Rhinolophus ferrumequinum: one gene and its partner. Each later gene encodes a partner of the first gene's protein in a complex. Links are inferred from orthologs where the notes say so. Each region holds a gene or a part of one and is shown in the gene's direction. Other genes may lie near its edges. The genes, in order: CMKLR1 and RARRES2.

The links.
Region 2: the proteins of CMKLR1 (region 1) and RARRES2 are in contact, whole or in part, in a cryo-EM structure (PDB 8ZJG), measured with the Homo sapiens proteins. The link is inferred for Rhinolophus ferrumequinum from reciprocal best matches to the Homo sapiens genes CMKLR1 and RARRES2. Residues at the interface, in NP_001135815.1 of Homo sapiens: Asp20, Tyr21, Leu22, Asp23, Ser24, Ile25, Val26, Val27, Leu28, Phe88, Leu92, His95, Tyr103, His104, Asn116, Leu119, Ile120, Met123, Arg178, Leu183, His184, Gly185, Lys186, Ser188, Cys189, Phe190, Asn191, Trp203, Thr205, His217; in NP_002880.1 of Homo sapiens: Leu34, Phe37, His38, Phe60, Thr75, Ser76, Cys77, Arg96, Leu111, Gly112, Arg113, Leu114, Val115, His116, Cys117, Pro118, Ile119, Thr133, Leu136, Arg137, Gln139, Arg140, His146, Ser147, Phe148, Tyr149, Phe150, Pro151, Gly152, Gln153.

Annotation. Positions count from the first base shown.
Region 1 is NC_046308.1:14,933,402-14,948,362, forward strand, and holds CMKLR1 (chemerin-like receptor 1), read left to right. Parts: upstream 1-8,802; 5' UTR 8,803-8,940; intron 8,941-9,519; 5' UTR 9,520-9,522; coding exon 9,523-10,629; 3' UTR 10,630-13,094; downstream 13,095-14,961. UniProt on the Homo sapiens protein: Receptor for the chemoattractant adipokine chemerin/RARRES2 and for the omega-3 fatty acid derived molecule resolvin E1.
Region 2 is NC_046309.1:4,160,968-4,176,333, forward strand, and holds RARRES2 (retinoic acid receptor responder protein 2), read left to right. Parts: upstream 1-8,476; 5' UTR 8,477-8,579; intron 8,580-9,705; exon of another isoform or gene 9,706-9,847; intron 9,848-10,341; exon of another isoform or gene 10,342-10,471; intron 10,472-10,842; 5' UTR 10,843-10,866; coding exon 10,867-11,040; intron 11,041-11,262; coding exon 11,263-11,367; intron 11,368-12,277; coding exon 12,278-12,373; intron 12,374-12,696; coding exon 12,697-12,807; 3' UTR 12,808-12,810; intron 12,811-12,961; 3' UTR 12,962-13,074; downstream 13,075-15,366. Other genes in the region: REPIN1 (replication initiator 1), read right to left, coding at 123-1,852, 3,234-3,390; LRRC61 (leucine-rich repeat-containing protein 61), read right to left, coding at 13,918-14,697. UniProt on the Homo sapiens protein: Adipocyte-secreted protein (adipokine) that regulates adipogenesis, metabolism and inflammation through activation of the chemokine-like receptor 1 (CMKLR1). Also acts as a ligand for CMKLR2.

The DNA of each region.
Region 1 (14,961 bases):
GCTCCCACGCCCATGGGTCTGATAAGGCCCCTGCATTGGGCCTGCGGCCTGCGGCCTGGAGAAGCTTAGCTGCAATCTGCAACAGGAGAGCACGGGGTTAGGAGAGCCAGTCCATGGCTGCTGGCAGTTTGGGCAGGCTAGCCACACAGGTGAGTGATATGGGCGGGTAAGAGGGTGCTGAGCCTCTCAGAGGGGAGGGTGGGGGGACAGAGAGGAGACAGGGAGACTCCATGGAGAAGAGAGAGGCAGAGAGTCAGGCACGCAGAGACATACAGAGAGAGGGAGAGGCAGAGAGCATGACATAAGAGACAGAGGGAGAGACAAAGACAGACAGACATGGACAGACAGACAGACATGGACAGAACAGGATGGAGTCCTTTGCAGATTCAGGGCACCCATTTGGCCAATTGGCCTGGGCAGTGACGTGGAGAGGAAGCAGAAGGCACACCTCTGCTGACCAGATACCTCTCAGTTCTGCTGTCCACCGAGCCGGTGGGGACAGGGGCTGGCAGGTGGCAGCTAGAGACGGTGGGGCCCTGGATTCATAAAGACCCAGGTTCAAATCCCTGCACTGCCACTAACCAGGCAAATGACTGTACTCCACCTGCACCCAGGCCTCGGATGTGCCCTTAGTAAATCAGGACTGGTGACAGCAACCTTGCAGGGTTAGGGGGAGAAAGGACTCGTTCAAGGCACCCCAGCCTCCTCTGCAGGGCCCAGGATAGATGGATGAATGAATGAGCCCTGCCTACAAAAGGCATTTTCCGCAGCACCGGGATCATGGCGCATTCCCGCTTGGGCTGCTCACTAGAGGCAGAGAGGCTTTGGGGAAAAGCCCAGTGAACTTGAAGCCTTGTCTTGTCCTGCCTGTAAAATGCACACCCGGAACCCTGCCCCATTGATCTCATGGAGGCTTCTGGGAGGTTCTCCTGCGGCAAAAACCAGAGCATTCTGGAGTGTGCTGAGAAGGGGAAGCAGCGGACAAGGAAAGAGAGTAGGTTTGGCAGTTCAGCAGGCTCTGAGCTTCCTCCTCTGTCCACATTGACTAATTAGACCTACCTTGCTTACCTGATCTACCTGTGTGACCTTGGGCACCTTACTGACCCTCTCTGGGCCTCCGTGTCCTCATCTGTAGTGATGCGTAGAACTGTACCTGGAATGCACGCAGGGCTATCGAGATACATGATTGTTTAACAAAACTTAAGCAAAGAACGTCTGCCTGAGGTGTTTGCCCTCTGCGGCAGGAGGAACCAGATGTGACTTTGACTCCCAGCCCCCGTCCCAGCAAGGGTGAGCAGTGGTGGTGTGGGCAGGGCAGGGCCATCTGCAGCAGTATCGTCTGCCTGGTGACTGTCTGGTCCCTGGCGGGGGCTGGGCTTGCCAAAGAGGTACCAGGGCCTTGACTGCTGCATAACCACCCTCCAACTGGGCTGATGCTGTGACTTCCATTGCTTCCTCCAAGTTCATTCCCTGGCTGACAGAGGAGGCTAGTGGCCCTCTGAAAACGTGCGGCGCAAGGCCAAAGCTGCTTGTTTGGCCCTTGGCCCGCGCAGTGCGTCTTCCTCAGGGAGTCAGTGATCCAGGCACTGCCCACGCAGAAACCCCAGGCAGGGGGTTAGGGTGTCTGTTTGTTTGCTTTGGATTTTTCTGGACCTGGGGAGAGGACATAATGACACCCCTCCATCCATCTTCATCATCATCATCACTGGCCTCTGGAAGCCCTCGCACTTGTCCCAGTTTCTCTCTTTACTGCATTCATTTCCTTTTAGCCCTGTTTGCTACTCCTTCCCCCTCCCATTTCCGCTCCCAAAGAACCACCCTAATTTATTCAGGGTGTATCTTGTGATTTGGCCGTGTTCTTGCAAACAGTGCATTACTGTTTTATGCTTGTTGCTGCCTTTGCATGCATGTTTTCAATGTCCTTAAGTGCTGTTAGGGTAGGAGGTATCAAGGTGTTTTGTGTTTGCTTGCCCTGTGTGCCCTGGATACTCTGGGGCTTCTACCAGCTGCCCAGCGTTCACCCATCCCCTCTCTTCCAACCATAGGCAGACGAGCTGCCTGAGTCCCCTAGATTCTTGACCATTTTGAGCACACAGTCTCCCCGAGGGCTCTTCTGACAGCCTCATGGTGGGAGGAAAGCACACCCCCAGGATGGGGGTGGGGGTGGTATAAATACTCAGCCTCCTGGAGGGTGAACTCCATTGTTTCCTGAGTCACCAGCCTGGGCTAAGGCCACCCTCTGTGCCCTGGCCTAGCCCCTCCCCTTCCCAATCTTACTTTTCCACTACCTTACCGATTTTTCCTGGAACACTTTTGCAGGAATCCTCATGTGAGGCTTGCTTCTGGAGGACGGGAGCTAAGGCGTACCGGTGCAGACACAGCTCACGGGCATTCTTCTCCATAGGCCCTCGGGGGACTGGGAGGGGTTCCCGGGTCCCCGCAGACGGCATGCGAGCCTGTGCCTCACCTCCCCAACCCCAGGGGAATCCATGCCAGCTTCCTAGCTTCCTAGTCCTTGCCACAGTCTGACAGGCACAAAGTATTATCTGGTTGTGGTTCTTTTTTTTTTTTTTTTTTTTTTTTAAGATTTTATTAGGGCGGGGGAAGAGGGGAACAGGACTTTATTGGGGGAACAGTGTGTACTTCCAGGACTTTTTCCAAGTCAAGTTGTTGTCCTTTCAATCTTATGTGGAGGGCACAGCTCAGCTCCAGGTCCAGTTGCCGTTGCTAGTTGCAGGGGGCGCAGCCCACCATCCCTTGCGGGAGTCCAACCGGCAACCTTGTGGTTGAGAGCCCACTGGCCCATGTGGGAATCGAACCGGCAGCATTCGGCGTTAGGAGCACGGAGGAGCTCCAACCGCCTGAGCCACTGGGCCAGCCCAGGTTGTGGTTCTCATTTGCATGTCTTTGAGGATCAATTTGTCATATGCCTGGATTTGGGGGTTTCCCTCCTATAAATTACCTGTTCATAGCATCTGCTCGTTTTTCTGCAGGGGTTGCTCTCTTTTTGGATTTGCAGGAAAGAGTTACTTGTACATCCTAGATAGCAATTCCTTGTCAGGCTTAGAGCTTGTAAACTTATGCTGAAGGCACGGCTGTGTGTGTGTGTGTGTGTGTGTGTGTGTGGAGCCCACTGGAAGGACAGGGCCTGGTCCCCAGCATGGTGGGGCCTTGGGGCAGAGAGCTGGAGGTTGAAACCCCCACGCACAGTCAGTGACGTGGAGGTGCTCCAGATAGGAACGTTAACTTATAACAACAATGACAATGACATAGCTGTTACGGGTTGAATTGTGTGTGCCTCCCCCACCCGACCCCCGCCCGCAAATTCATATGTTGACATCCTAACCTCCAGTATTTCAGAATGTGACTATATTTGGAGATACCGCCTATAAAGAAGTGATTAGGGTAAAATGACGTCACTAGGGTGGGTCCGAATCCAATCCGACTGGTGTCCTCATGAGAAGAGATTAGGACACAGACACACACGGAGGGACGACCAGGTGAGGACATAGGGAGAAGGTGGCCATCCACCAGCCAAGGAGGGAGGCCTTAGGAGAAAAGGCCTCCCTTCCGACTCCTTGATCTCGGACTTCCAGTCTCCAGAACTGTGAGAAAAAAGGTCTGTTGTTTATGTCGCCCAGTCTGTGGCACTGGGTTCGAGCCGCCCGAGCTGACTGATACAGCAGGCAGCAAGCTCTGGGTTTCCAAAGCCGTGGAGAGAAGGATACTACCCCCTCTTGCAGGGCTGTTTGGGGACAGTCTGTGACCACATTTCTAATGGACTCGGCACCTGCCACATAGTAAGTGCCCAATAAATTACAATGCCAGTAATAGTAATACACGTACTTATTAAGCACTTGCTGTATGCCAGATCTAAGCAGGGGGCTGGGGAAGAGCGAGTGTCTGTTATCTAGCAGGCCTTCTGTGGGGGGATGGGGGCGGTGGCCTGGGGGGCGGGTAGGACATGGTCAGCATCACAGAGAGAGCCCTGGGGAACTGGACAGAGTGGAGATGAAGGAGGCAAGAGGGGTCAGAACCGGGTGCTAATAGAAAACTCTGGTGGACACTCATAGACAGAGCCACCACTACCAACGACGACGACAAAAACAAAAACAATAGTGGCTGTAAGCTCCACAGTGTTGCAAAACGCTTCACAGAACTTACTTTACCTTCCTGTGCCTTGGTGTTCCCATCTGAAAATGGGTATAATCATTTCTTAACCCTGGAGGGCTGTCATGAGGACTGGGTGAGACCCGTGTGTGAAATAAGTGGCCTGTTGTCCAGCACACAGGAAGGGCTTAATTATCAACGGTGAGCTTTCCATGTGCCAGGCAGTCAGCGCCCAAGCATTTAACCAACACCCTTTATTCAAGCCTCACAAGAGACCCGGGAGCTTGGTCCTCGGATTAGCCCCATTCATTAGCCCCTTGTATTGAAACTGAGTTTTGAGATGGCTAAGCAAGAGGCCTTAGTCTGTTCTGGCTGCTGGAGCAGAATACCATAGACGGGGTGGCTTAACAGCAAACATTTACTTCTCACAGTTCTGGAGGCTGAGATGTCCGAGATCAAGGTGCTGGCAGATTTGGTGTCTGGTGAGAACCTGCTTCCTGGTTCCTAGACTGTGTCCTCACAGGGTGGAAGAGACGAGAGCTGTCTGGAGTCCCTTTTATGCGGGCACTGATCCCACTCCTGAGGCGCCACCCCCATGACCTCATCACCTCTCAAAGGCCCCGCCTCCTAACACCATCACATTGGAGGTTAGGCTTCAGCACATGAATTTTTGGGGGGGACACAAAGATGCCAAGGTTACACAGTTTGTAGGTTGTGGAGCCAAGAGTCCAACACTGGTGGGTGTGAGGCCATATTCTGGGCCCTTAAAATCCCTTTGTTTTATTGGGCTTTGTTTTTTCCATGATATCATCACTGTCATTGTTATTATTTCTAATTTCCAGATCAACCTGGTGAACTAGAAAAAGCATGAATTCATCCATCCATTTGTTCTTTCAAACATTTGTTTGTTCATTCATTCATTCATTCATTCATTCATTCATTCATTCATTCATCAAACAATATTCCAGGTAATGTGCCAGAGTTATGAAGACACTGTTATGGGGGTGATAGGTACATAGGACTTCTCAATACTATTTTTGCAACTTCTTGTTATTGAACTGGGCAGAGAGGATCTAGAAACCATCTACCTCCCAGCCCCAACTCCAAAAGCTCATTTATTGCCTTAGCTCATCCTCCCAGCTGCCCTGAAAAGTAGGCAGGGCATGTACTGTTATACCCATTTTGCAGATTACACTACCGAGGTTCAGAGAGTAGAAGCTACTTGCCCAGATGTCACAGCAGGTCTCCTGCCTTCTCTACCACCTCCTCCCTGACATTTTCTCCTGGAGACCTATGGGAACTGCCCCAAGGAAAGAACAGCCAGGACTGGCCTCAGGAGTCTGTCGAAGGAGCTTCAGAGCAGACCAGCTCTAGGCCCTGGTTCCAAATGGGGTGTGAGTTCAAGGTCACAGGAAGAATCTGGGAGCCGATCCAGGACAGCTCATCTGCCCCCTGGGCTCCCTGAGGAACTGAGGGCAGGAAGGGGGACAGGCTGGCCACAGGCTCGCATGCCTGCCTGGGCTGTGATGGACAATGTCATCTTTGGCAATGACCCCCATGTGTGCCTCAGACCTCAGCCAGATTGTCCTGAAAACTGGGGGAAAGAGATTCCTTGAGGGGACTAAGCAAAGGAAATCAATGAGGAGTGTTCCTGGAGGGTGGAGCTGGGGACCCTGAGGGGTCAGGCAGGGTATGAATAGACATGGAAAGCAAGGTGGGGAAGAGCAGGGCTTGGAGTCAGAGCAACCTGGGTGTGCATTGGCCACTAGCTGACTGTGTGACATTAGCCTCACTTTTCCACCTTTACATTGGGACTAACAGAAGTACCACTCCTGGGCGTTAGTGGGGATGTGCGAACTAATGTAATTAAAGCGTTTGGTGTCCTGTTTGGGCTTTGTGTGCACCCATCAGTCATTATCAAGAGGAACTAAAACCAATATAAAGTATAATTAGATGTAGACATAAAGGCTAACCAAAACCAATGCAGAAACCTGCAGACCAGCAGGGCTCATGGGGTTGCTGCCTTTGACCTGAAAATGTGACTCTGAGCTTCCTTGGGGCCACATCAAAAAAGGAAAATGTGATCAGTTGTAGAGTTTGGGTTATTGAGAATGAGGAAGCAGCCCAGTTTCTCAGGGGAAAAAGTGCTGTTTCTTCCCCTACAGAGGTACAGAGAAGGTAACTCACTTGCTCAAGGACATAGGAAGTTCATGCAGAAGGAGGATTTGGATGCTGGCAGCCTGGCTGGGTCACAGAATCTGTGTCCTTGACCAACCAGTCCAGTACTTCCTGCTCTGGGGGCAGAAACAGGCTCAGGACAAGAGGAATGTGTGTGGGGACGGAGTGGAGGCTGAATGCAAACCTGTGATTGAGGCCCCCCTCCAGGGAGAGCTGAGGGGCTTGGTGGGGTGAAGACACATACTAACTGGGGATACTGACTCACTCAGCTCTCAGGATGAGGGGTGAGAGGTGACCGGGTAGAAATGCCCAGAGGATGTCAGCGCCACCCTGTGAGCGCCCAGTCTGGCCCCCATTCAAAGATGAAAAGATGTGGCCTCTGACCCCAAGCTGCTTCCTGCACAGCAGGAGAACCAGACATGACGTTATCTGTGTCCTTGGCACATTTCTGCAGACGCTGTGGTGCAAAGTGCTGGGCCTGAGTCCCCACCCCTTTCCGCCCTTCTCCTGAGGCTCAGACACCCCCATACCGCCATCAAAGGGGCGTTGTGGGGGGCATAGGGAGATGGCCTAGAATGCCCTCCTTCCACCTTCTTAACTCATAGTTGTCCTGGAAAACTCAGCTAGTAGGTTAAAACTTGAGCATCATGGGACTCTAGTGGGAATCCGCCTGCCCCGGGAAGGCTCGGACTTCCTGACCTGGCTCCCACCGCAGCACTTCCTCTGCCTTGTGCCTTGCTACTAACTGAGCTTTGTGGAGTCCCCTTCCTTCGTCTTTTCCCTTCTTCCTGGCTGGAACGTGGATGTGATGGCTGCAGGAAAGCCATTTCCTTGTCCTGCATTTCCTGGGGCCTGCATGGTCCGGCACAGGGGATGGGGACACGGTCATCCCTTCCTCAAGGATATACTCAGTGGCTGGCATCAGATCATGATTTCAGGGCACCATGGTGGTGGTAAGAGCCCAGGTTCTGCAGACCTGGTTCAAATCCCAGCTCTGCCACCTCCCGCCTGGATGCCTGGGGCAAGGGTCTTCGGCCTTGTGGGTGCCACTCATGGGCTAAAGTGGGGCCACCTGTATTACAGGCTCAGCAGAGTCCCTGGCATTCATCATTATCATGAACCCAGTCACATTTCCCCAATTAAGAGGGGCTAGCTGCAGTGTCCCTGACTTCTCTCCAAATTCCAGTGTCCCATGAAGCTCTGGGGACCCCTCATTGGTCACCTCTGGAATATCCTCCCAGCAGAGTGGAACGACATCCGAGCTCAAATTCTGAGTCCTTGGAGCCCAGAGTTCTCAAAGGAATTTCCCAAGTGGCTCTTACTTAATAAAAGCAAAAGATGACTTTTATGCAACAAAATATTAAACGCAAACCCATTAAGGACGAGCAATGAATTTAGACGGAGGAAGTGTGGAAAAACTGATCAAGAAGCATTGATTGGCAGTCTGGTTTGGAGCCCATTTGTCAAGATGGGGAGAGCGTGGGTGGTGGTATATGCATGGACTCTGGGGTGTCAGAGCCCTGGGTTCAAATTCCAGCTCGGCTGGCAGCTGTTACCTCTCGGCCGTAATGTAATCACTAACGTTTACTGAAGGTTTACTATGTGCCAGCACTAAGCCAAATGCTCCATGTTCCTGATGCCCGTGGTTCTTACCTCCACTCTGTGAAGTGGCTGTTCCCATTTTACTGACGAGAAAACTTGAGTTTCAGAGGGGCAGAAATCACGTGTTCAAAGCTGCACGGCTGGTGATTGGCCAAGGTTGGGCGTGAACCCTGCATACGACCACTGCCTCCCAGACCTCCCAAGCTTGCAAACTCCCCAGCGTTTCAGTTTGTTCTCCCATCAATTGGGAAAATACCCAACTGTTTTTCCCAATTGGGAAGGACCCGTTACGTTCTCAGGAGGCATTCAGTGAATGTATTCGTGTCTGTCTCCTCACCAGACTGCTGTGACAGCAGGGTCTGTGTCTAATTCACGGGACACGCTGGGCCCAGAGAATGAATGCCCAGTGAGAATGATGCTTCTCTCTCAGTTTCCACAGCTTCAAAAAAGGACTAATAACATGGCCTGGAAGAGCCCCCGGGAAGACGAAATGAGATGAAAAAGGCGTTACAGTTCTTGGCACATAGTGGGTGCTCTGGGTAGCTCCTCTTCTGTCTTCTGGGTGCCCAACATGGCCTGGAATGGTGTTTTCTGGGTCTGGCCCTAGCACTGTTTGCTTCGATCCATCCATACTCTCCCCTGTAACCACCCCTGACTCAGGCTGTCATTTATGGGTGTGCCATGGTGGGGACATGGGGTTTGGGATCAAGGGTCCAGCAGTTGATCAGGGTGTAAGGGGCTCCACCACTCCGAGCCGAGTGACCTTAGGTATGTCACTCAACCTCTCCTGCCCTCTGCTGCTTTTTCTGTAAACTGGAAGTAATGACAATAGATTCTCTGTGGCCCCTGGTCCACCCAGCGCTCTGGCCCTTAGACCAGGATCCAACTGCTGCCTCCTTGTTCTTCCCTGCAGGTGTTTCCAGCTGTGCACAGGGACTGATTGCCTGAGAACCCACGCTGGAGAGCTTCGGACACCATAACAGTGAACGGGGAGGGACTCTTGTGGTCTGAACTATTTCCAAAAGGCACCAGCGGGGGACCACTGACAAGGTGAGAGCCCCAGAGAATGCCAGCATAACTGTCCCCTGGGATTGGGAAACATGGCTGGAACCAAGCTCGTGGCGCTGTGCTCGTCTTCTTCATTGCACTTAGCAGCGTTGAGATTTGTCCATGATTAAGGAACTTTTTAATGACTGTCTCCCCCACCAGACTGTAAGGGGAATGGGAGGGTCCCAGAGTAGCAGCAGAACATGGTTGTCCAAAGGGTAGACTCTGAACCTGGGGCTTGATTCCCAGCTGTATGACCTTGGGCAAGTAACTTAAGCTCTCTGTGCCTCAGTTTCCTCATCTGAAAAATGGGTTCGTAACCTCCCTACCTCACTGAGTTGTTGGGAGGACAAAGAGAGTTTATATATATCAAACCTTTAGAATAGCACCTGGTACATAGGAGGTGCCAGAGAGGTGTTCATTAAATAAGTAAAAACAGCGAAACAGGAAGTAGTTAAACCACCAACCGGCCTTGCTCAGAACCGAGGAGAACCATGTCCGTCTTGCTGGTGTTGATCATCCTCTTGACGCTTAACACGTGCGTTCAAGGTTCCTCTAATGACCCCTGTCTCCTCGTTGCAGAGAATGGGGGACGAGGATTACAACATCTCCTACGATGACTACCCTGACGAGGTCAGCACCATCATGGTTTTGGAGGAGCTTTCGCCCCCCGAAAGCAGAGCGGTCAGGATCTTCCTGGTGGTGGTCTACAGCATCATCTGCTTCCTCGGGATCCTGGGCAATGGCCTAGTGATCTTCATGGCCACCTTCAAGATGAAGAAGACGGTGAACACCGTGTGGTTCCTCAACCTGGCGGTGGCAGACTTCCTGTTCAACCTCTTCCTCCCGATCCATATTGCCTACACCGCCATGGACTACCACTGGATTTTTGGGACGGCCATGTGCAAGATCAGCAGCTTCCTGCTCATGCACAACTTGTACACCAGCGTCTTCCTGTTGACCGTCATCAGCTTCGACCGCTGCATCTCGGTGCTGCTCCCTGTCTGGTCCCAGAACCACCGCAACGTGCGTCTGGCCTACGTGGCCTGCGTGGTCATCTGGCTCCTGGCTTTCTTCCTGAGTTCCCCATCCCTCGTGTTCCGGGACACAGCGCATCTGCACGGGAAGATATCCTGCTTCAACAACTTCAGCCTGTCAGCGGCCAACTCTTCCCCGTCGTCCTCTTCCTCCCGACTGGACTCGGTGGCGTTTGGCCGGCACATGGTGGTGACCGTCACCCGTTTCCTCTGTGGCTTCCTGATCCCGGTCCTGATCATCACAGCCTGCTATTTCACCATCGTCTGCAAGCTGCGACGCAACCGCCTGGCCAAGACCAAGAAGCCCTTCAAGATCATCATGACCATCATCGTCACCTTCTTTTTCTGCTGGTGCCCCTACCACACGCTCTACCTCCTGGAACTCCACCACTCCACCATGCCTGGGTCCGTCTTCAGCTTGGGTTTGCCCCTGGCCACGGCCATCGCCACTGCCAACAGCTGCATGAACCCCATTCTGTATGTCTTCATGGGTCAGGACTTCAAGAAGTTCAAGGTGGCCTTCTTCTCCCGCCTGGTTAATGCTCTGAGTGAGGACACGGGCCACTCCCCCTACCCCAGCCACAGGAGTTTTACCAAGATGTCGTCGCTCAATGAGAGGTCCTCGATGAACGGGAGGGAGACCAGCATGCTCTGATCCTCACCTGGGAGACCCTAATGGACACTCCCCACCTTGGAGTCCAAAGCTCTGCCTTCTCAAGACTATGGCAGGGACCGCTTCAGTACCCACCAATGCCCACCATAGTTTGTACGGGGCTGAACAATGTTTGGAGCTGGGCATCCAGGGCTCAGGACCCCTTTCTTCCAGTGGCATGGTGGACAGGGTGTGCTGTGTGGTTCATAGCTTTGGACCAGCATCCCTTGCTTTTGGGGAGACCAGCTTTGACTGACACAAAGCAAAAAAAGGGAGAATTCTCAAAACACTGCCATGAGCTGCGCTCAGCATTAAAAGTGAGATTACGCGCTCTACCGTGTGCTCCCCAGGAATGACACCAACACTTGACGGGGTCCGTTCCGAGTGTAGCAGAGGCGGTTGGAGCAAACCCAGTGTGATGCACATCACACCTCGCCCCACATACCTGTGCAATAGCCAGCCAGAAATCCCGCCACTCAAGCCCTTCCTCTGGGTTAGGCACATGTAAATACACAGTTACCTGGGAGGGGAAGATGACGTATGAGCCCGTGAACTCCCAGGATGATGAATTTGTTTTTCAGATCAGTTGAGAAGACGGGGAACAGGTCCTGAGGGGCCATGTGGGCTCTTTGTGAGGGCAAGACAAGTGGGGTGCAGTGAGGAATTGGGGCCCTTCAAAGGGTGTGGCAAGAAGCAGCTTACCCTAGACCTGAGCGTGATGGTGCTTTGGGATATAGCTATTTTGAGCGTGGAGGTGGTGCCTGTCCTTTTCCCCAAGCCCTGTTCTCACTTTGCAGTTGTTCCCAGGGGCCTGGGTTGAGGGGCCAGCTTCACCAGCAGCCCCCACCCATCCCAGGGGTTCCTCCCTCCTTCCCTTCCCTGGCTCTGACTGAAGCTGCTCAGAGTAAAACACTCTGGGACAAGAGGTGAGTAAGGAGCGCTTCTCCTCCGCCTCAACTTCCTAAAGACTTGCTGGAGACTCATTCAAAATCAGCTTCTGGAAGCAACCTGGGAGCGCCTCGAGGGCTGATAAGCGTGTCCAAGGGCTCAGACGCCGAACTCAAAGCGGAGTCTGGAGCCTGACTCCTGGAACTGTGCTCCTGAGAGGCAGGCCATGGGGTGCCAGGGGCACAGAGCTCGTCCTGTATGCAGCCATGTTGCTTTTTCTCCTCTCGTAGGACAGCTTCCGGTGCTACAGAGTGTTATTTCCCCATTTACAAATGACAAAGATGAGGTTCAGAGGAGACAAGTAACTGGCCCAAGGGCACACAGCTAGTCAGAGGCTCTGTCTGGCCCTAGGGAAAATGTATCTATTGAGAATATTCTAGACTCTAATGATAGCCTACATTTAGTTAGCACTTCCTATGATAAGCACTTTACATGTATCTCATTTATTCCTCACAGCTGCCCCGAGTTAGGTACAATTACGTATTACTTCCCTTTCACATATAAGGTAACAGAGGCTCAGAGAGGTTAAGTAAGTTGCCAGAGGGCACCCAGCTGGTCTCTGCCAGAGCCTGGATTTGAACCTAGGCCTGTCTGGCTCAGATAAGGCTGTGGAATCTTACGGTTCTGAGAAGGGCTTGGGTTTTGGACCATGAAAATACATTCCTCAGACGATTAATGTAAACAGCCGAGTGGCCTTGAAGCCAGCTTTGCAAATAGTTTTCAAAAATGACCCAAAATGGCAAAGAAAATGCAGTTGGCCTCCAGCTCCCTTGACACCCGTCCACACACGCCCACCCGCTCCTGCACCCCTGAGATCTCAGGGAAGGCAGTGGAGAGACAGGCCTGGCAGGAAGTAGCCCTTGTGGGCCAGAGGCCCTTTGGCCTCTGAGGGGCCGCATTCTGTTCTCTTCCAAGCCGCTTCATCGTGAAGCCAATTCTCCAAGATGCGGTGAACAGATGTAATGTCTCCATAGGCGCTGGGCAAGCTCCTGAGGCCACGGGCTGTTTGGAATCACACCTCGTTAAGAGACAAACTGTTCTTTCGTGGTTGGGTTGTTGTGTTTATGATGAGCCAATTCTGAATTGATCCCAAGCTGGGGCTTCCGATTGCTTTAAGCAATCTGTACTAGGACAGTTTGGGAACAAAAGGGGGGCTTTAACTATCACCCAGGGCCCCACCCCCCAGCACCTCCTTCTCCAACTTCACAGGTGAAGTAACTAAAGTACAAGGCAGCATGGGACGTGTTCTAGGTCCCAGAGACAGTCGTCGGCCACTCGGGCCTCTGACCCCCCCAGGACGCTGGGCTCCACGCCTCACGTCTCCCGGCTGCACACCGGCCAGGCTGGGGGAGCCAGGAAATCATTTTGTTGTTGGAAAAGCTGATGAACAGGAGCAAAATTCAAACCAGCTGTCTTCCTCCTTCGGGTTAGACCTCCTTTTTCTGGCCGCTCCACGGGTCTTCCTGTTCTAACTGTAGGTTCCCATCAAATGCTTAAATACAAACATGACATCCCCTTCACTCTCGTCCCTACCGTTTCTTTTGAGCATCTCCACCAGTCACACACCACGTCCCTGTGGTTCCCAAGGTGTGTTCATCTCCACCGGTCACACACCACGTCCCTGTGGTTCCCAAGGTGTGTTCACCTGCATTACTCTACAGACAAGCTCACGTGGTGCCCGAGAGCCCTCCCTTGGTGGCTGGGACTCAGCATAGGGCCACAGTGCTGCGCCCTGGGTGGGGTGGGTGGGGTGGGTGGTCCCAGGGGATGCTGGGAAACAGGCAGAGGGGCTAGAAGAGAAGGTGGTGTTTGAGGTCGGGAGAGGGAAGGGTGAGGGAAGCCCGAAAAAAAAGGAGAGTGACGATGAAGGAAAGGAATCTGACATTTATTAAGCCTCTTCCATGTGTAGGCACAAAATGTCATGAAACCCTCAGAATAGTTCTGAGAAGAGGACCAGCAGATGCACGTGGGGGATGCAGAAAGGGGGGATTGGATTGCGGACCTCACTTATTTAGGGTCACACAGCTAGTAAATGATGGAGCTGGCCTTTCAACCAGGTTTGCTGCCTGAGCTCCCAGCTTCTTCAGCCCTTGAGAGGAAGGAGAGAAAGACAGAAGGATTGAAGGGGCGGGGGGGACAAAAGGGAAGGTGGGCAGGAGCTTCGGGGCCAGGATGGGTGAGAGAAGAGAGAATCCCATAGTGAGAGCTATGAGGGCCCTTTAAATCATCTCACCCAGGCCTTTCCCATTTTACAGATGAGGGAGCTGAGGTTTTGGGAGGTGCCCTTTGAGAAATCGGCTAAAGGAAGTGGTGCTCGGCTTGGATGGAAGTCATCAGTGATTCATTCCCAACTCCTACCACTGGCCTCCCTCTCCCGTTCCTCCCTAACATGCTATGCTCTGGCTGAAGCCGGAGTACCCTGGGCCTGTGGTTGCCAAACCCCAGATTTGGATAATTGCTGCTGGGTGTGGTATTCAGAACTACCAAGAAGCCATGAAATAACTCAATAGAGGGCTTGCTTGCTTCCTCCCTTTGAGGACGAAGTTTCTCTGGAAGGAAGAGACTGAAGCAAGAGTGGGGCTCAGCGCAGCAGTTTCCTACCACAAACTCCCCCTTGCCTTCCCTGTCCACCTCACAGAATAGCAGTCGAGGCTCAGAGAGGCCAAGTGACCTGTCCAAAGTCACACAGCTATTGTGGTGAGCCTGTAGGAGAAACCCTGAAATTCCCAACTTACCATTCCCTAAATCTTGGACTTCAAGAAGTATGCATCTTGAAAAAAACTTCCCTCCACTTGTTTAGTTTCCCTAGCAACCAAGGATATATGACAGGTAGTGACTTACCCAAGATAACATAGGAAGCCATGGCAGATAGGAGACTGAACTCCAGGATGCCCTACTGCCAAGTCTGTGCTCTTTGGCACCACGTCAGGCCATCCAAGGACAGACGCTTCCATCTACACATTCGTCCACCCATCATTTCCCCTGTTCATCCATCCACTCATCTATTCACACGTCCATCCATCCACCTCCCCGTCCATTAACACAAGCACCTCTCTCTCCCTATCTCCACCCATTGAACCATTCCATAAAAACCTATGAAATACCTACGCTTTGGCAGGCCCTGTAGTCGGTACTGGGACTACTGGGATGCTCGGGCCATGTGCAATCTCTGTCCTTCTCAGCTCATTTATTGGCGAGTGGGAGAGACGGCCAATCATTTACGAACAACACAGAACAAAACCCCACACTCTGAAGGGGAAAGAAGCACAGTAAGTGCAATGCACACACTGTCGAGGGCTCTGACCTTGTCCAGAGGTCAAGGACACTTTCTCGGGGAAGAGACCCTGGAGAGGTGAATGACAGGGAAGCACTGATTCCGTGGGAGGT
Region 2 (15,366 bases), on another chromosome or scaffold:
AGGGCCCAGGTCACTCCTCACCCCTCACCCACACCAGCAGCAACACAGACCCCCACGGCCCACTGCAGCCCTCGCTCGTGTGAATGACGCCCAGGCCCTCAGCCGCCACAGTCCCTGCCGTCTTAGACGTCATGCTTCTTCTGATGGGCCAGGAGCTTCTCCTCGTCGTCAAAGGTCTGGCCACAGATGGCACAGCAGAAGGCGCCGTCGCGGATGTGGCTCTTGCGGTGGGTGATGAGGTTGGACTTCTGGCTGAAGCTCCGGTCACAGTCGGGGCATGCGTAGGGGCGCTCGCCCGTGTGGATGCGCCGATGGGACACCAAGTTGGACTTCTGGCTGAAGGCTTTGCCACAGTCGGGGCAGACGTAGGGCTTCTCACCGGTGTGGATACGCCGGTGGGCTGCCAGGTAGGGCTTGTGGCGGAAAGCCTTGCCACAGTCCGGGCAGACGAAGGGCCGCTCGGGCGCATGGTCACGCCGGTGGGCCGCCAGGTGGCTGCCTTGGGAGAAGCGGCGCCCGCACTCCTCGCAGGCAAAAGGCCGCTCCCCTGAGTGGACCCGGGAGTGGGCCACCAGGTGGGTCTTCTTGCCAAAGTTCTTCCCACACTCAGAGCAGGTAAAGGGCCGCTCCCCTGTGTGCTGCCGCTGGTGGGCCCGCAGGAAGCGCTCCAGCCGGAAGCTCCTGCCACAGTCATCGCAGCTGTAGAGAGATGGGGGGGCTTCCACCTGGTCCCGGGGGGCCTCTCCTGGGGCCTCCAGCAGAGGCTCCAGGCCAGGCTCCTGGGCAGGTCTCAGTGCAGCCTCTGGGGTGGGCTCTGCTGAGGGCTCCAGGGGTCCGACTGGAATCTGGGGGCTCCCCAAGCCAGGGGCGCCCTGGGCAGACCCTTCAGATCGCTTGTGGATCTTGCTGTGAGACAGCAGGTTGGGTTTGTGGCGGAAGCGGCGTCCGCACTCGGTGCATGGGTAGGGCTTCTCCCCAGTATGGATGCGCCGGTGCGAGGTCAGGTAGGGCTTATTGGTGAAGCGCTTCCCGCACTCAGGGCACTGGTGCGGCCGCTCACCCGTGTGCACGCGGCGGTGGGCGATTAGGTTGGGTTTGTGCCGGAAGCGCTTGCCACAGCAGGCACACTGGAAGGGCCGGTCAACGGCATCTCCACCCGGCCGGGGGGCTGTCACTGCCGGGCGGCCCCTGGGCCGAGGCCCAAGAGCCTTGGCTGCTGCCTCCTCCAGGGCCTCCGCTACGTGAACCCGCTTGTGAGTAACTAGCTGGTCCCACTGGGCAAAGCTCCGGCCACAGTTGCCACATATGAAGGGCCGGGCCTCAGGGGCAGGGGGATGGCACTGCCGCAAATGGACTCGAAGCTGCTTTTGTCGCCAGAAGCGTCTCTCACATTCGGGGCAGGCAATGGGCCGTTTTGCAGCCGAGTGGGCCCGCAGGTGCAGCACCAGAGCCACCCAGCCTCGGAAGCTCTGCCCGCAGAGGTGGCAGGCAAAGCCCAGGTCTGGGGTGGCAGCGGCATGGACCTGGCAATGCAGTGCCAAGAAGGGGGCGTGTCGGAAGCGGCGACCACATTCAGGGCAGGGCAGGGGCAGCCGGGCCTGGCAGCGTCGGGCATGAAGCCACAGGGCCACCCAGCCCGGGAAGTGCCTTCGACAGTGGGCACAGCGATGGACCCGACCTGGAGCTTGGCTGCCCGACTGGGCCACGGAAGTGCCTTGTAACCTCAGCCTGTGGGGCTCCTTCTCCAGGGTCTGGGGTGACACCTGGGAGGGCCCAGAAAGGAGTTGGGGCTGGATTGGGCCCGTGGCCAGGGGGCCCCGGCAGCGACGTTCCAGCATCGGTTCTTCCTCTGCTGCGGGCGGAAAAGCAGAGTCACTCTAGAGAGCCTCTCACCCTGCCCCCAGGTCCTCCCCAGCCACCCCACGCCAGAGAGGAGCTCGCCCCTTTGGACTCCTAGAGCCCTGAATCTATACGACTCCTCTATTTCCTTGTAGGTTCTATGTTATTTCAATCCTGGGTTTCTAGACATGCATTTCAAGTATATTTGAAGTCATCTTTATTGATCCTGGAAACTACCAGAAGGGAGAAACTCTGACACTTCTTGGAATCCCCCTCACGGCAGCCATGTGTCTGGCATGGAGTAAACACTTCCAGTCGGCTTCACACACATTCCTGCCTCTCCAGAAAACGTTATCGCCTCCCCCTACAGTGCTTCATGCTTTTTCCAAGTACTGCCCTGCTGCCCTCTCCTTGCTCTATTTCCTGTTGCCACATCTGAGTTTCATGGCAACTGTGAGGCTGGATGAGCAAATATTCAACTCCCTGTTTGATAGATGAAGGAACCGTGAGGCATAAAAGGTAACAGGATCTGCCTGAGGGGACACAGTAAACCAACAGCAGAACCGACACTGAGGGGACAGGTTCTTCTAAAGTCCCAGGACCGTGTTCTTTCCTCTTAAACACCTGGATTGGTAAAGATCCCACAGAAAGAAAATTCTAGAGCCTTTCATTCCTATTATCCTCGCCTGGGCTCTAATCACACCCTGAAGAGGCACTTTCGGCCTCCCCGACTTCAGTCTCTCAGGGTAGAAACCTGGAGAATGAGTGAGAACAACCCTTCTGGGAACAGGGTGCTACGCCCAGCACCGCACAACGCCAGGCCACCGCCTGTCCAGACTGTGCCCACCTTCTGCCTGCCTAAACCCCCTCCACCCACACACGCGGAAGGAAAGCTCTCCCGAATCCAAGGAACACCCACAGCCTGTTGCCCTCAGGGGCCCGGAGCCCTGGCACTGCCTCCCTCGGGGTTGTACGGATTACTGGGGCAACAGAAGGAGAGGAAAGAAAAGACTGTAATCTCTGTCCCCTGTCTAGTCCTGCCCCAACCCTGCCAGGGGCTGTCCCACATTCAGCAACTCTGAGGTGCCAGGGAGCCCAGATTCCTGCAGGAGAACCTCCTACGCCCACTGAGGGGTGGGGTGGCAGTTAGACTCCCAAGGGCCCCTTCACTGCCTGCTCACACGCCAGACACATCCTCAATTCCCTAGAGTCTGTGCTCCTCTAAGGAGCACAGACATGACTCATTCCCAACGGCCAGACAGAGCCCAGGAAAGGCTCTAGGAATATGAGAAGGGATCCTTTCCCCACAGGCCCTTCCTTCCCCACGATGGGGAAGCCTGAGCCCTGGGGCTGTGGAATGGAAAGGGGACTCAACAAATAAGGCCAGACTCTACCCTGGAGACTGTGGAGCTGGAGACGAGGCTTTTTCCAGCTCCTGCTGGGGATGCTCCTGGGGATACTTCTGCGGCTGCAGCGCCTGCTTCCTCCCACACTCTGGCAGCCCCCAGATGTCAGAGAAAACTGCAGCAGTAAAGATACCCCTACCCCCATGGCAGAGCTCAGGCCTCCGACTGCAGAGAGGCCAGCCTTACCTGTGGGGAGGGGAGAGAAAACACGCGTGAGGCTCTGAGCTCCTCCGGGGCGGTCATCTTTGTGTCCTCGCCAGCCACCACCCCCTCCCCCACCCAAGTCCCACACCCGGCTGGCAGAGTGACCTTAATGGATATTGGATTAATAAATGCATGTGTCCCCTTCAAGGAAGTACACAGCTGCATATGGGGGTCACTTTCTCCACGGGTAAGGTCACCGCACGAATTCTCCATGCTGACGGCCAAAGGCTGGCCTAGGCCAGCAACTCTGGAATCCCTGCTGACTCCCCTCCCCCCACCCTCCTCGCCACAGGAATTCCAGGCCGGTTTCCCAGGGGGCTGCGCAGGCGAGCTCGTGTAATCAAGACTCGGTCAGAAGCCCCTCGCGCGCCCCGATGGCAAAGGGCCGTGGACACCCCACACCCTCCTTTTGTATTCGCGCGTGTGCCTCCGTTCCCGTTCGCGGACACACGGCTCAGCGCTCCCCGCGTGGGCCCTTTCGGGTCCCCGCGCAGAGCGCACCTCGCGGAGCCTGTGCGCAGGTGCGCGGGCTCGCCTCCCAATTCGGTCAGCATGTCCCCCACACTCAGCGCGCACACGGTCACGCGCCCGGCAGGTAGGGCCGCCCCGCCGGGGCCCGCGTGGGAACCCCGCGCCCTTCCCGGGACGAACCTCTCCAGAGGGGTGCGCGGAGGCGCGTCGCGCGTCCATGAGGCCAGAAAGCCGGCGCCGGCGGCCACGCTCCCCACCCCGCCGCGGCGACAGCAGCAGGTTCGAGTTCACCACTGCCAGGCCCGTGCCCAGCCCCCCCGCCGGTTCCCAGCGCCACGTGACTACAGGAGCTGCCGAGGGTCAGTCGCGGGCTCGGGCCGGCGGCCGCGGCCGGAGGGCGGGGCGGGCCACGCGGGGCAGCCGGGACGGCCGAGCCGGGTCCCTTGCCGCCCCCAGCGCCCCCTCGCGGGCCAGGCCGGGGGAGGCCGGGGAGGGCCCGACTCCGTTGCCCTGGCGACTACAGCCTGGCTTTTCCGGGACAGGCGGGCTCAAGTTTCCCGACCCTTTGTCCCTACGGAGGACTGGCGTCCCTGGGCGACCGCGTGGCCACACTGGTCACTAGGTTAGCTGCAGCCTCACTGGCTTCCTAACGGTTCCAAGCTCGCTCAAGCCTTCCGACAGGGCGCTCCGGCTCCTGGCCCGCGCCCTCCACTCTCCGGCCACCTTGACCTTGGGCCGCGCTGCGGAACCTCAGTGCCGTGGGGTCTGAGCGGTGCTGGCATCCACCCACCCGCGGCGACGCGCCAGATCCGAGCGTCTGGCTTCTGGTTTGTTCAGAAGTGGAGATAGAAAACGCCAGATCGCGTCAACTTGGAAAAGGGAATGCCCTCTATTCCAGAAATAGGCAAAGAGCCGGCGTCCGTGACCGCCGGCCGCGGGGCCGTTCTCGCTTGGGGGCATTTCGCTGGGAAACGCGCGGCAGCCGGTTGGCCAGTGCGGATGCAGGTGCGAGTCTGCGCCCGCCCGTGACTCACCCACTAGCAGGTGGCCTTGGCTTTCCAAACGAAACGAAACACTTCCTGGGTTTTCCAGGCTAGCACAATTTCATGTACTTGTGTGCTTTTCAACAAAGACTATCTTTTAATTGTACAAGTATTTTTAAAGCACTGTTAAATTCTATTCCATAAATAGGAAATAGAATATAAAAATCTTTCATACTTTTACCTCCTAGAGTAAAATACATTTAATATTTTGGTATATGTCCTCCGATGTTTTTTCTATAGTTCTTTCTCTAAGTATACTTGACATAACTGGGATAATACCTTGCAAAGATGTAGTCTAGTCTTTTCACGTAACACTATTGTGAATTTCCCCTATTCTATTAGATATTCTTTTCATAACATGATTCTTAATGGCAGAACAAATGTACAAATACTTGTTCAAATTTTTGGTTTTCCTATGTCATTATAGATTCATTTTTAACATCTCCAGAAATCCTCTATGAAGACCCTCAGGTATTGTTTAGAAGCAGCCCTTTATCTACAAGAAGGAAAACTTACCCACCTCATGCTGTTAGACTGTTCCAGACCTCGCTCATACATCCAACAAATATTTAATCAGTGCCCGCCATCTGCGTCTGTGCCAGGTGCGGGCTTGATCACGAGCCAGGCAGAAATGGCCCATACTGGTTTTCCACAATGATTCTTAACCCTCGTTTAGCAATGGAAATATCTCTTGGGTTAGTATTTAACATGAAATAAAATCAAATGCTTGATGACAATTTCTGAATGGATGGCTGTTGAAAAAGTGGCGGAGACAAGGGGGCAGAGAAGAGCAGAACATTTCATTCTAACAGAACTGACTTGTTAAGTAAGATTGTTAACTCCTGCTGCAGGAGCAGACAGCATCCTGAAGGCAGATATGGAAACTCTCACCGAGCTCCTTCCAGGTGTTTGGTCGTGTGGGAAAGAGGCAGAAAGCACATACCACGCTGACCTTGATGGAGGCCCCATCTGCCGGGAGGGCCTCAAACCTGCACAATCACCCAACATGCTCACACAGCCCTCCATCCCATGTTCCCTTCCGGCATCAGAACTGGGAGAGAAAGCAGCCAAGGCCCAAACTGAGCAAGCCCCTGACTGACCAGGGCTAGCAGCTTGGTTGAGAGCAGTCTTGCTAGGTCACGTGGAAACTCTCCAGGAACAGATCAGAGTGCTCCTACTTACAGAGTGCTAAAAATATCCTTAAAGGCGTGGACACATGCAGAACCCCTGGCAAGGGCGAACACTGTAAGAGAAGCCTTAGACGGGGATCCAAGGTCATCCCCCAAACTGCTGCACCGCTTTTCTACTGCATAGCTAACTCCAGGAGTCTGTTTTTCTAAAAGGAAAAAGAACTTAGTCAAAAGGAAACCAGGTAGAGATCTCAGATTTCCTGCTGCGGGTGCCAGGGCGTGGGTGCACCAAGGCTGTGAAGCCATGCTCACCACTTCTCACCTCTCAGCGTGGCCATCGCTCCCTCCTGGCTCCCTGCATAGCTGCCGCGGAGTCCAGTCTCTTATACCAGACTAACCCTTTTAAATAAGGTGGCTCACTTCACATTTTGCAGACGTGGCAAACCACTGTCACAGCCTCTATGGTTCCATCTGGACTGACCGTGCCTGCCTCTCTAGCTCCCTGGCATCCAGGGTCCTGCTGGACACGCTGCCCCAGCCACAATAGCTCATTCCCACCCTAGGGCCTTTGGAGTTGCTGTTCTGTCTGCCTAGGATCCGAAGGTCAGATATCCAAAAGCGGTTTCACTGGGTCAAAATCAAGATGTCAGCAGAGCCATGTTCCCTCCAGAGGCTCGAAGGGAGAATCTGTGTCCATGCCTTTTCCAGCTTCTAGAGTTGCATTCCATGTAGGACTCGGGGCCACTTCCTCCATTTTCAGAACCAGCAGCGTATCATGTTGCTTCAGTGGTCACATTGCCTCCTGTCTCTGCTATGGTCAAATCTCCCGCTGCCAGGTATTCAGTTAGTGTTTGTGGACCAAATGAATGAGGAAATGTAAGAGGCTGACCCACTGGCTAAGCAAATTTAATTGGACCAGAATGAGCTGCCTAAGCAGCAGCCACAAGCCACACGTTCACCAGTAAACTGCAAACTCTCTTCCCTTGGCTGCTGCTTGTGAAGCAGGTGTTGGGAGTCTGGAAGGACTTTTAATGAGAGAAAATGCCACGTTTTCTTACAGAAAAATTCGAGTCAGTATGTGAGCGAGGTAAAGAACAAAGAACTTGGAAGAAAACCTCAGTCTGTAACTCTACCACTTGAAGGACTCTGGTTGTAGGTAGCAGGTACCTGAACCATATACTTTTATCTGAAACATTATTCCAGAATAGCTGGAATGCCAGAACCTCTAGGGAACCTCTGAGGGGGACTGACGTGGCCAGAGTCAGACCCTTTGTGGGAGGAGAGCCCTCCACTTCCTGGCAACGGCATTTACCACCGTTTGGTGATTTGGTCCTAGGACTAGACATTACCAGGAAACACTGCAACCAGTCATCTTGGTGTCTCAGCCTGGAAAGAGAGTTCTTGACTTTCCCTAGAAATCGGCACTTCTACCCTTTCAAGGTCAAATCTCATCTCTTATTACAATGCTATGTTTTTTTTCCTACTCCAGATTATATCTTCTTCAACTTAAAAGATGGATTTAGAAGCCAATGTGTATCAAGTGTTGGTTTAAAATCTACTAAAAGCCAAGTTTGATTGGAAAACACAAGGAAATTCGAAACAGAATCTCTGCTAAGTCTTTGCAATTTAGCAGAACCAGGTGTATTTTCAAGTGTTTTGTTTCCTGTGAGAGGCGTGTGCTGTTGTTTATGAAAACCATCTGTACGTGTTCACCACCCACAAAAAGGCTACATCTAACCTTGGCTCATTCCTACCCAGATTCCCCTCGACTAAAATGAGGAATCAGAGTGCAAACCAGGTTTTAGGTCGGTGCTTTCTGTCCGGCTCCAAGACCAAATCTAGGTCACAGGTAAAGCTGGTGCCTTCAGAATTGGCCAATGAAGTCTCACTGTTCCCAGAGCTGGTTTGCCTTCCCTGTCTTAAAACGTTCGAAGTGAGTTTCCTTCTAACAGGATTTAAGGTTTATTTTGTGGATGTTATTATAAATTACAGTAATATCGCATTTTTAACTACTTTATAGTAACAGTCTATTAAACTAATACATTCAGCAAATAATATATTCAATAAAATTAATTGTAAAAAGAACACTTGGAAAGTACTTCATTTCCCAGCATCTAAACTGCCCTCGGTGTTTAGAGGGGAGGCTGAGATGCTGCTCGTTGTCCGTGCATGTCTGTGAAGGTTTACAGTCTAACAAACATGCGTCTCGTATATAAAGTCATGGCGACTAAGTGGCATGATGATTGGGTCTGATGGAGCCAAAAGAAGTTCTTAGGGTTAAACCCAGAATCAAAAAGTGAAAGGGAGAGACACTTCTTTCCCATTGGTGGGTACGGGATAGTTAATAATTAACATTTATAGCACAGAGAGCAACCAGCAGTATTCAGGGAACAAGGTAACAATGAGAGGTTCTGTGGTCTCCAGCTCTGGTGCAGTGGGTGTGCCCTCGAGGGTCTGGAAAAGGAGATGACTCTGACATTCCAAGGGTATGTTATCTTCGGTGCAAAAAGACAATAGACAGGCTCAGGCTCATTTAACCTAAAGACTGACCTTTGTCAAGGAAGCGACAGGCCTAGGACGTGACTACCCACCATGATCTGCTTTTAGTTAGTTTTTACGTTCAGACCATCCTATGTGGTTACTTTCGGTCTCTGAGTTTGTAGGGCCCACCATGCTGGCCTCACCTGAGCTTGTCAGGCTTAGTATGTGGCCCCTTTTTCATCCACATGGGCCACCAGTCATTTTCCATATACTTACTTATTTCATCTTTACAACAACCCCTTGGGTAGGGTTTCTGATCCCACTGTGCAGAGAAAGAAGCAGGGGTTTCTGGGCTTTGGAAGTTCAATGAGACCCTCTACTTCCTGTCATTGACACAGGGAGGCAGAGACAGGGTCGCCCTGGTTACTGACATGCAAATTCCAGGAGCCGGTTCCTATTTGCTCAGGATGAGCTGGAGTTGAAACAATATTTGGACAGTTTTCTCTGACTCCCCATTGGCCCTAAGAATTCTACCCCACCGTTCTGCCATGCCTGAGGGCTCCCAACACCCCCACATGAAACCCTGAAGTCCATTGCCATCGAGGATCAAGACTGGACATCGATAGAGGTTGCGGGATGTCAGAGTCGGCTCAGCAAATGACTCTTTCCTTCTCAGTGTGGCTTCAGGGTGCTGGATGCAGGGGAGGGATCGAATGACTCCTTGAGGGGTCTTCTGGTTTGAGGATGGCTGTATTTCTGGGAACAATTTCCTGAAATGAGTGTTTCCTGACGCTGGGGACTGGTCACCCAGGAAGGTCCTAAGAAAAGGGCAGCCCTACCTGGAGGCAGGGTGGGGGGCAGGGCAGTCCCGTATTCCGGGAGAAGAGTCCAGGCCGGGCGCTTGGGCTCCTGGGCCCGGGGAAGGTGAGCGGAGGGCAGCCTTGTTTCACGTCTTCTGGGGCCACCTAGCCCTGGCGGGGTGAGGCGCCAGCATGCCAGCCTGGGTAAGGGTCAGGCGGCAGGACGGAGGAGGGGCTGCGGAAGGTGGGATGGAGAGGGAAGGCTCCGGTGAGCGTGCTGCCAGGGAGGCCGGTCCTCACAGGGTGGGGCGGAGCCTTGGGCTGGAGCGGGGCCCAGGAGGTGGGCGTGGGAAGACATGGGGCCAACCCGCTGCAGGGAGGGCGGTGCCGGGGCAGGGGGACCAGAAAGACGCTGCTTGCTTCGCCAAGTTGCCGGGGAAAGTTAGGAGAGACCCCTGGACACAGGAGAGGAGGTGAGTAGGGTAGAGCGGGCTGTGTGGCAGCTGGACAGGAGAAGAGGGGCAGGCAGAGGGAACCGCTCCAAGGGCGAGACTTGTCAACTTGTCCGTGAGCCCTTGCTGTAAGGCAACAACCTGGTATCGTGTCACTGAGGGGCCTCAGTTTCCACATCTGTGGCTCCCTGGTCCTAACACCACTGGTACAGGCGGAGTTCTCGGGGAGGGTCCACCCCTCGGGCGACCCCAGTGATGGACTGGGGAACGAGATCAGAAGGGCTGGGAGAGGGGTGGTGTGGAAGGCCCAGAAAAAAAGGCAAGGGAAGGAGGGTCTGCCTGGAAAAGAAAACCATGGGTGGGACTCAGACAAGACCCCCTTTCTGGGTCAGGGGTAGGGCCCATGGCAACTGGCAGTCCCAGCACCGGGAGGGTTAAGCATCCTCCTGGGTTCCCACCCGGCTCTGGCCCCTCCCATGTGTTTGCGTCCTTCCAAAAATATTCAGCCTCCAACAAGCCTCCTTTCTATGCCCCAGTCCACCCCGCCATCAAGTAATCCAGTGGGGAGGGGAGATGAGGGCCAGAGGCTGGGAACTGGAAGCCAGCAGACCCAGGGTGGAAGGGGAGGCGGCTGGTGAGGCTGAGGTAGGGAAAGCAGAGAGGGGCTCTAGGGGCAGAGGGGCAGTGGGGAGACAGAATGGGCCGGAAAAGGGGTGGGGGTGGAGGGAGTGGGCACCAGGATTGCTTCCCTGGCTGTTGGCCAAGGACAAAAGCTGACTCAGCACCCACCCAGGACAGGGCCAAAGCTGGGCTGAGTTGGACCCGGGGAACAGTGGGAGGCAGGGTAGGGAGGAGTGAAGGACAGGGGAATACCAGGGTAATCTCAGCAAAGGGCCACTTCCTGTCTCTCTATCTCTGCCCAAGCTCTGCTGGGCACGGCCCCCAAGTGCAGGGCTGGGGTTTGACGGCTCCACTGGCTGCCAGGAAGAGCTGAGGCTCATACACACCGTTTGCAGGACCAGGGTGACTGAGGTGAAGCCATGTGGAGGCCACTACTCCTGCTGGCCCTGTGGCTGGGCACAGTGGGCGTGGGTAGGGCTCAGCTCACAGCCACCCAGCACCAGGGCCTGCAGGTGGCCCTGGAGGAATTCCACAAGCACCCACGTGTGCAGTGGGCCTTCCAGAAGACCAGTATGGACAGCGCCACGGACACGGTTAGCGGCACGGCCCATGGAGGGTGGGGGGCCCGCACCCCACGATGCTAGCACATTCCCGGGAAGCACGTGCAGAAGCACCCAGCTCTCTGGAGAAGGGCCACCAGCCCAGCCACCCACTCGAATGTGCTGTCCACTGTCGGGAGGAGAGGTGGGTCACATCCAGGAATTGTTCTGTACACTCAGCTGGCTGCTGGCCTTCCTCTGTCTGTCTGTCGGTAGTCCTTCCCGGCGGGGACATTTGTGAGGCTGGAATTCAAGCTCCAGCAGACGAACTGCGGGAAGAAGGACTGGAAGAAAGCGGAGTGCAAAGTCAAGTCCAACGGGGTGAGCGTACGTGTGTGATGAAGCACTTGCTCCGGTGCAAGTGTATGTAACTGAGGTTTGGTTGGAGATCTCACAAGAAGCCCTGGGGTTGGAGACCCCACTGTGGAGCCCGTGGTCGGGACAGTCTGGGAGGTCTGGGCCTGGACAGCCAGGGGTGGGAGGGAGGGCTGGACAACTGCCATCCGCATTCCTCTCCCAAGCTTCCCAGTCATGGGGAGAAGTCCAAGGTGTGGGGGTGGTCTGGCCCCCAGGCCTGGTGAATTCTCTTTTCTGTGGGTCTCCAAGTGGAGGTGGCCCAGCCTGGGCTGATCCGTAACAGGTTGTAACTGTAACCATTCAGCTTGGGGGCAAGACCTGCTTTGGGGGGAGATGTCTGGGCTGGGAGTGCAACCATCCGGGTTCTAGACCCAGCTCTGCTGAGCACCGGCCAGCTCTGTGGCTTTGTAGGTTCTCTGACGGCCACAGTTCCCACCATCTGTTAAAGGAGGGGCTGGATTATACCAGTGGGTTTCCAGATTTTCGTGCCAGAAGCCTTGTGTTCAAAATAAATCTTACAAGAAAATACAAATAAATAATGACAGCGGAACAGGTCTGGTGGAAGTCAGGTGGGGAAAACCTGCCTGCGGATTCCTGCGCGCGCGCGCGCGCGCGCACACACACACACACACACACACACACACTAAAGTTCCAAAGATGTGAGAACTGCAGGATAGTTTGACTTGTGAAATTTTCCAGTCCGAGGGTGGGCTATACCTGACACCAGATGGCCTGCACGACCCTCGCCCTCCACCTTAGGGCCTGCAGGGGAAGGACCCCTATTGCAGGCAGCCCCTAGCCTCCACCCTCATGGAGCCACAGGCCTGCCCTCACCCCTTTCCTCTCCTGGCCCCATGCCCTCCCCTCCTCCCAGAGGAAGCGGAAGTGCCTGGCCTGCATCAAGCTGGACTCGGAGTCTAAAGTCCTGGGCCGGATGGTCCACTGCCCGATAGAGGCGCAGGTTCAACGGGTAAGAGTGGGCAGAGGAGCAGAGAGTCTGGGGAGCTGGCTGGTATGATGGATAGAAGCTGGGCCTGTGGAACAAGTGAGAAAGCTGAAGCCTGGACAGAGGAGTGGGGAGGGCCAAGGAGGGGTGAGGAGGGGTGGGAAGGCTGAGGAGAGGGGAGGAGAGGTGAAGAGGGTAAGAAGTGGGTGAGGAGGGCCTCTGGCCTGGCCCAGATATGCCCTAAGGGCTGTGGAGGGGGCACAGCAGAGGCACAGGATGAGCCAGACATCGCTGGGCACTGCCCCTGGGCACTGCCCCTGGGCCTGAGCCGGTGCTGGTGCTGGCAGGAGCCCAAGGAGCCCCAGGAGGCCCAGTGCAGCAAGATACAGCGGATTGGTGAGGACCCCCAAAGCTACTACTTCCCAGGACAATTTGCCTTCATAAAGGCGAATGCCTGACCGGTAGGTGGCCAGGGAGGTGGGAGAACAGTGGAGTGGGGACAGCCCTGGGTGGGGTTTGGGGTGCTGGGCTGTGGGAGGCGCGAGGGGAGGGGCTCAGGACCAGCACCAAAACAGCCTCTCACACCCAAATCTTGGTGTTTTTTCCCTCTAGAATTCCACCTGGCTTTCTGGACAGCTGGGGGTGGTAACCAGTGAAACACCCCTCCCTGTGCCCCGAGGACGACCCCATTATCCCCAAGCTAATAAAACTGCTCTTGAGCTGTGTTCTTTCCTCCGTTTGCATCACATCCTCTCCTCCCCTCAGCTCAGCTGGTGGGAGGCTGAGGGAGTGAGGAAAGGCCGGGAAACTCTTGCAGGAGGAAGCAAAGCCCCAGGGGGAGCAGGGCACTTCCTCTTGGACACCCAGAAAACAGGCAGGGGGCCTCGTGTGTGCACCTCCTTTCCGCAGGAGAGACCAGAGCTTGCAGGAACTCATGCCCATGTGAAATGACAGGCAGTGCTGCAAATTAAAACAGATATTTAATAGGGATTAGCGTGGGTAACAATGGGCGTTGAAGGCTCCAGGGGGCCACGGCGGAGGGTCGCCTGGACAAGCACATGTGGCAGGTGGGTGAGGGCAGCTCCCATGCTCTGTGCTCTGGGAGGACCCCTGGAGAGGGGGCACAGCATCCCTGCCTTTGCCACCTTTGACCTTAGGAAGCAGTGGCTTCCTTCTTTCCACTAAGTTCAGGCCCGAGCAGCCAGGAGTGGCAGCAGCTGTGGACACGCCCTGCGGCCTCCTCCCTTGGGGCACAGACAGACAGCACGCGTAGCAGGACAGGTGCCAGCTGCTCGTGGAGGGCCCTTACACCTGTTAGAGGCCACTGGGGAGGTGCCTCCCTGAAGGATGTTGAAGGAAGGTGTGGAATTTTCCTTGAGGGAGGAGTGGGAGGGTGGGGGCTGCTCTTAGGAACAGAGATAAGCAAATGGCAGTCTGCTGGCCAGTGACCAGCGTGATGAAACGCTCTATTCCGGTGCAGATCTGGGGGTGGGGTGGGAATGTGGCCACACCTTCCGATGCGCCAACCCCACGGCCTGGGTCAGGCTGGCCCACGCCACGGAGCACATTCAAAAGACAAACGACGAGGTGGTGCCTGCAGAGCTGAGCGCCTGCTGGGCCTGCTCCAGGCTGTCCTGGGCCTGGCGGTCCAGCTCGTGGCACTCCTGCAGTGTGTCCTGGAACTGCCGGCAGGCCTCCTGCAGGATGGAACTGCTCCGCGTGGGCCAGGCCTCCCAGTACCCTGGCTCCACCCAGGGCTGCGCCTCGGCCATGCTGGGGCCGGGGCTGGAGCTGGGCCACAGGGGGCTGTCCAGGTCCCGACACAGCTGGTAGAACTCACTGCCGCGGCCGGCCACACGCTCCCCATCGATGACCTTCAGGCCGGGCAGCAGCTCTCGGACCACGGCCCCGTAGGAGGGGCTGGCACAGAGCGGGTTGCTGAGCCGGGCCAAAGGGTCCCGGAGCCGCAGGTGCTCGAGGCCCCGCAGTCCGGCCAGACACTGCAGCTGGCCAGGGGTGGCCAGCAGGTTGCCCGCTGCATTGAGATTCTGCAGGTTCTCGCAGGCGGCCAGTGGCTCCAACCCTGTTAGCCGATTGTTGGCGACATTGAGCACGGCCAGCTGGCGCAAGGAGGCCAGTGGGCCCAGCTGGGTGAGCGCGTTGCCCGACAGGTCCAGCCACTCGAGGCCCAGGCACGCCCCCAGGCAGCCCAGGTCCACTAGCCCCAAGCCTCGCAGCTTCAGAAGCAGGATGGAGTCCAGGGCAAACTCGCCCGAGCGTGACTTGAGCAGCTGGGGCGTGACACGCACCCCATCAGCCTCTCCTGGCTTCTCAGCCTGCGGCTCCATCAGTGAAGTCGGTCTAGGTGGCCTGGGCCGTGACAGTCTGTCACTGGGACACGAGTACCACTGGGTGTCTGCTGGCCATTCACCCCAAAAAAGGCACCGTCAACTGGCTTGGGCCAGTGCCAGAGGCCTGTTTCCAACACCGCTGCTCAAGGGCCAGCAGGTCCCTAAGGAGAGACAATTAAACAGTAAGCAGCCTCTGCTGAGCACCCGTGACCCTGCAGCCTCTTCCACCAGGGCCAGAAACTCCGGTGGCCTGGCAAGACCTGAGGCCCCAAGTCCAAGATGCAAGAAGACCAAAGGCCCCCCTGAGGGAGTTGGGCCGAGCACATGGGGGCCGTGATGGACAGAATTCAGGCCCAAGGTTCCCAAATCTTCCCATTTTCTAAATCTGCACTGGGGGCAAAAACTTTGTAATTTTACTTTTTCTGTAACCACTCATGATCTATGCTTATTAGTTTTGAGGTGTTTCTTTGTAACCATTTAAAATATTTTTGAATAGGTATTTGTCACCACCATGACGTCTCTGGTTTCCTCCCTGGGAGAGCCACCCATGAGCAAACACAAACAAGAGACCCTGGGCCTTGCTTTATTCGCTCTAAAACTGCCTTGACTCGATTTTTTCAATGTGAGCAGTGAATTCCAAATGGTTTCCGGATCACGTGGCCAATT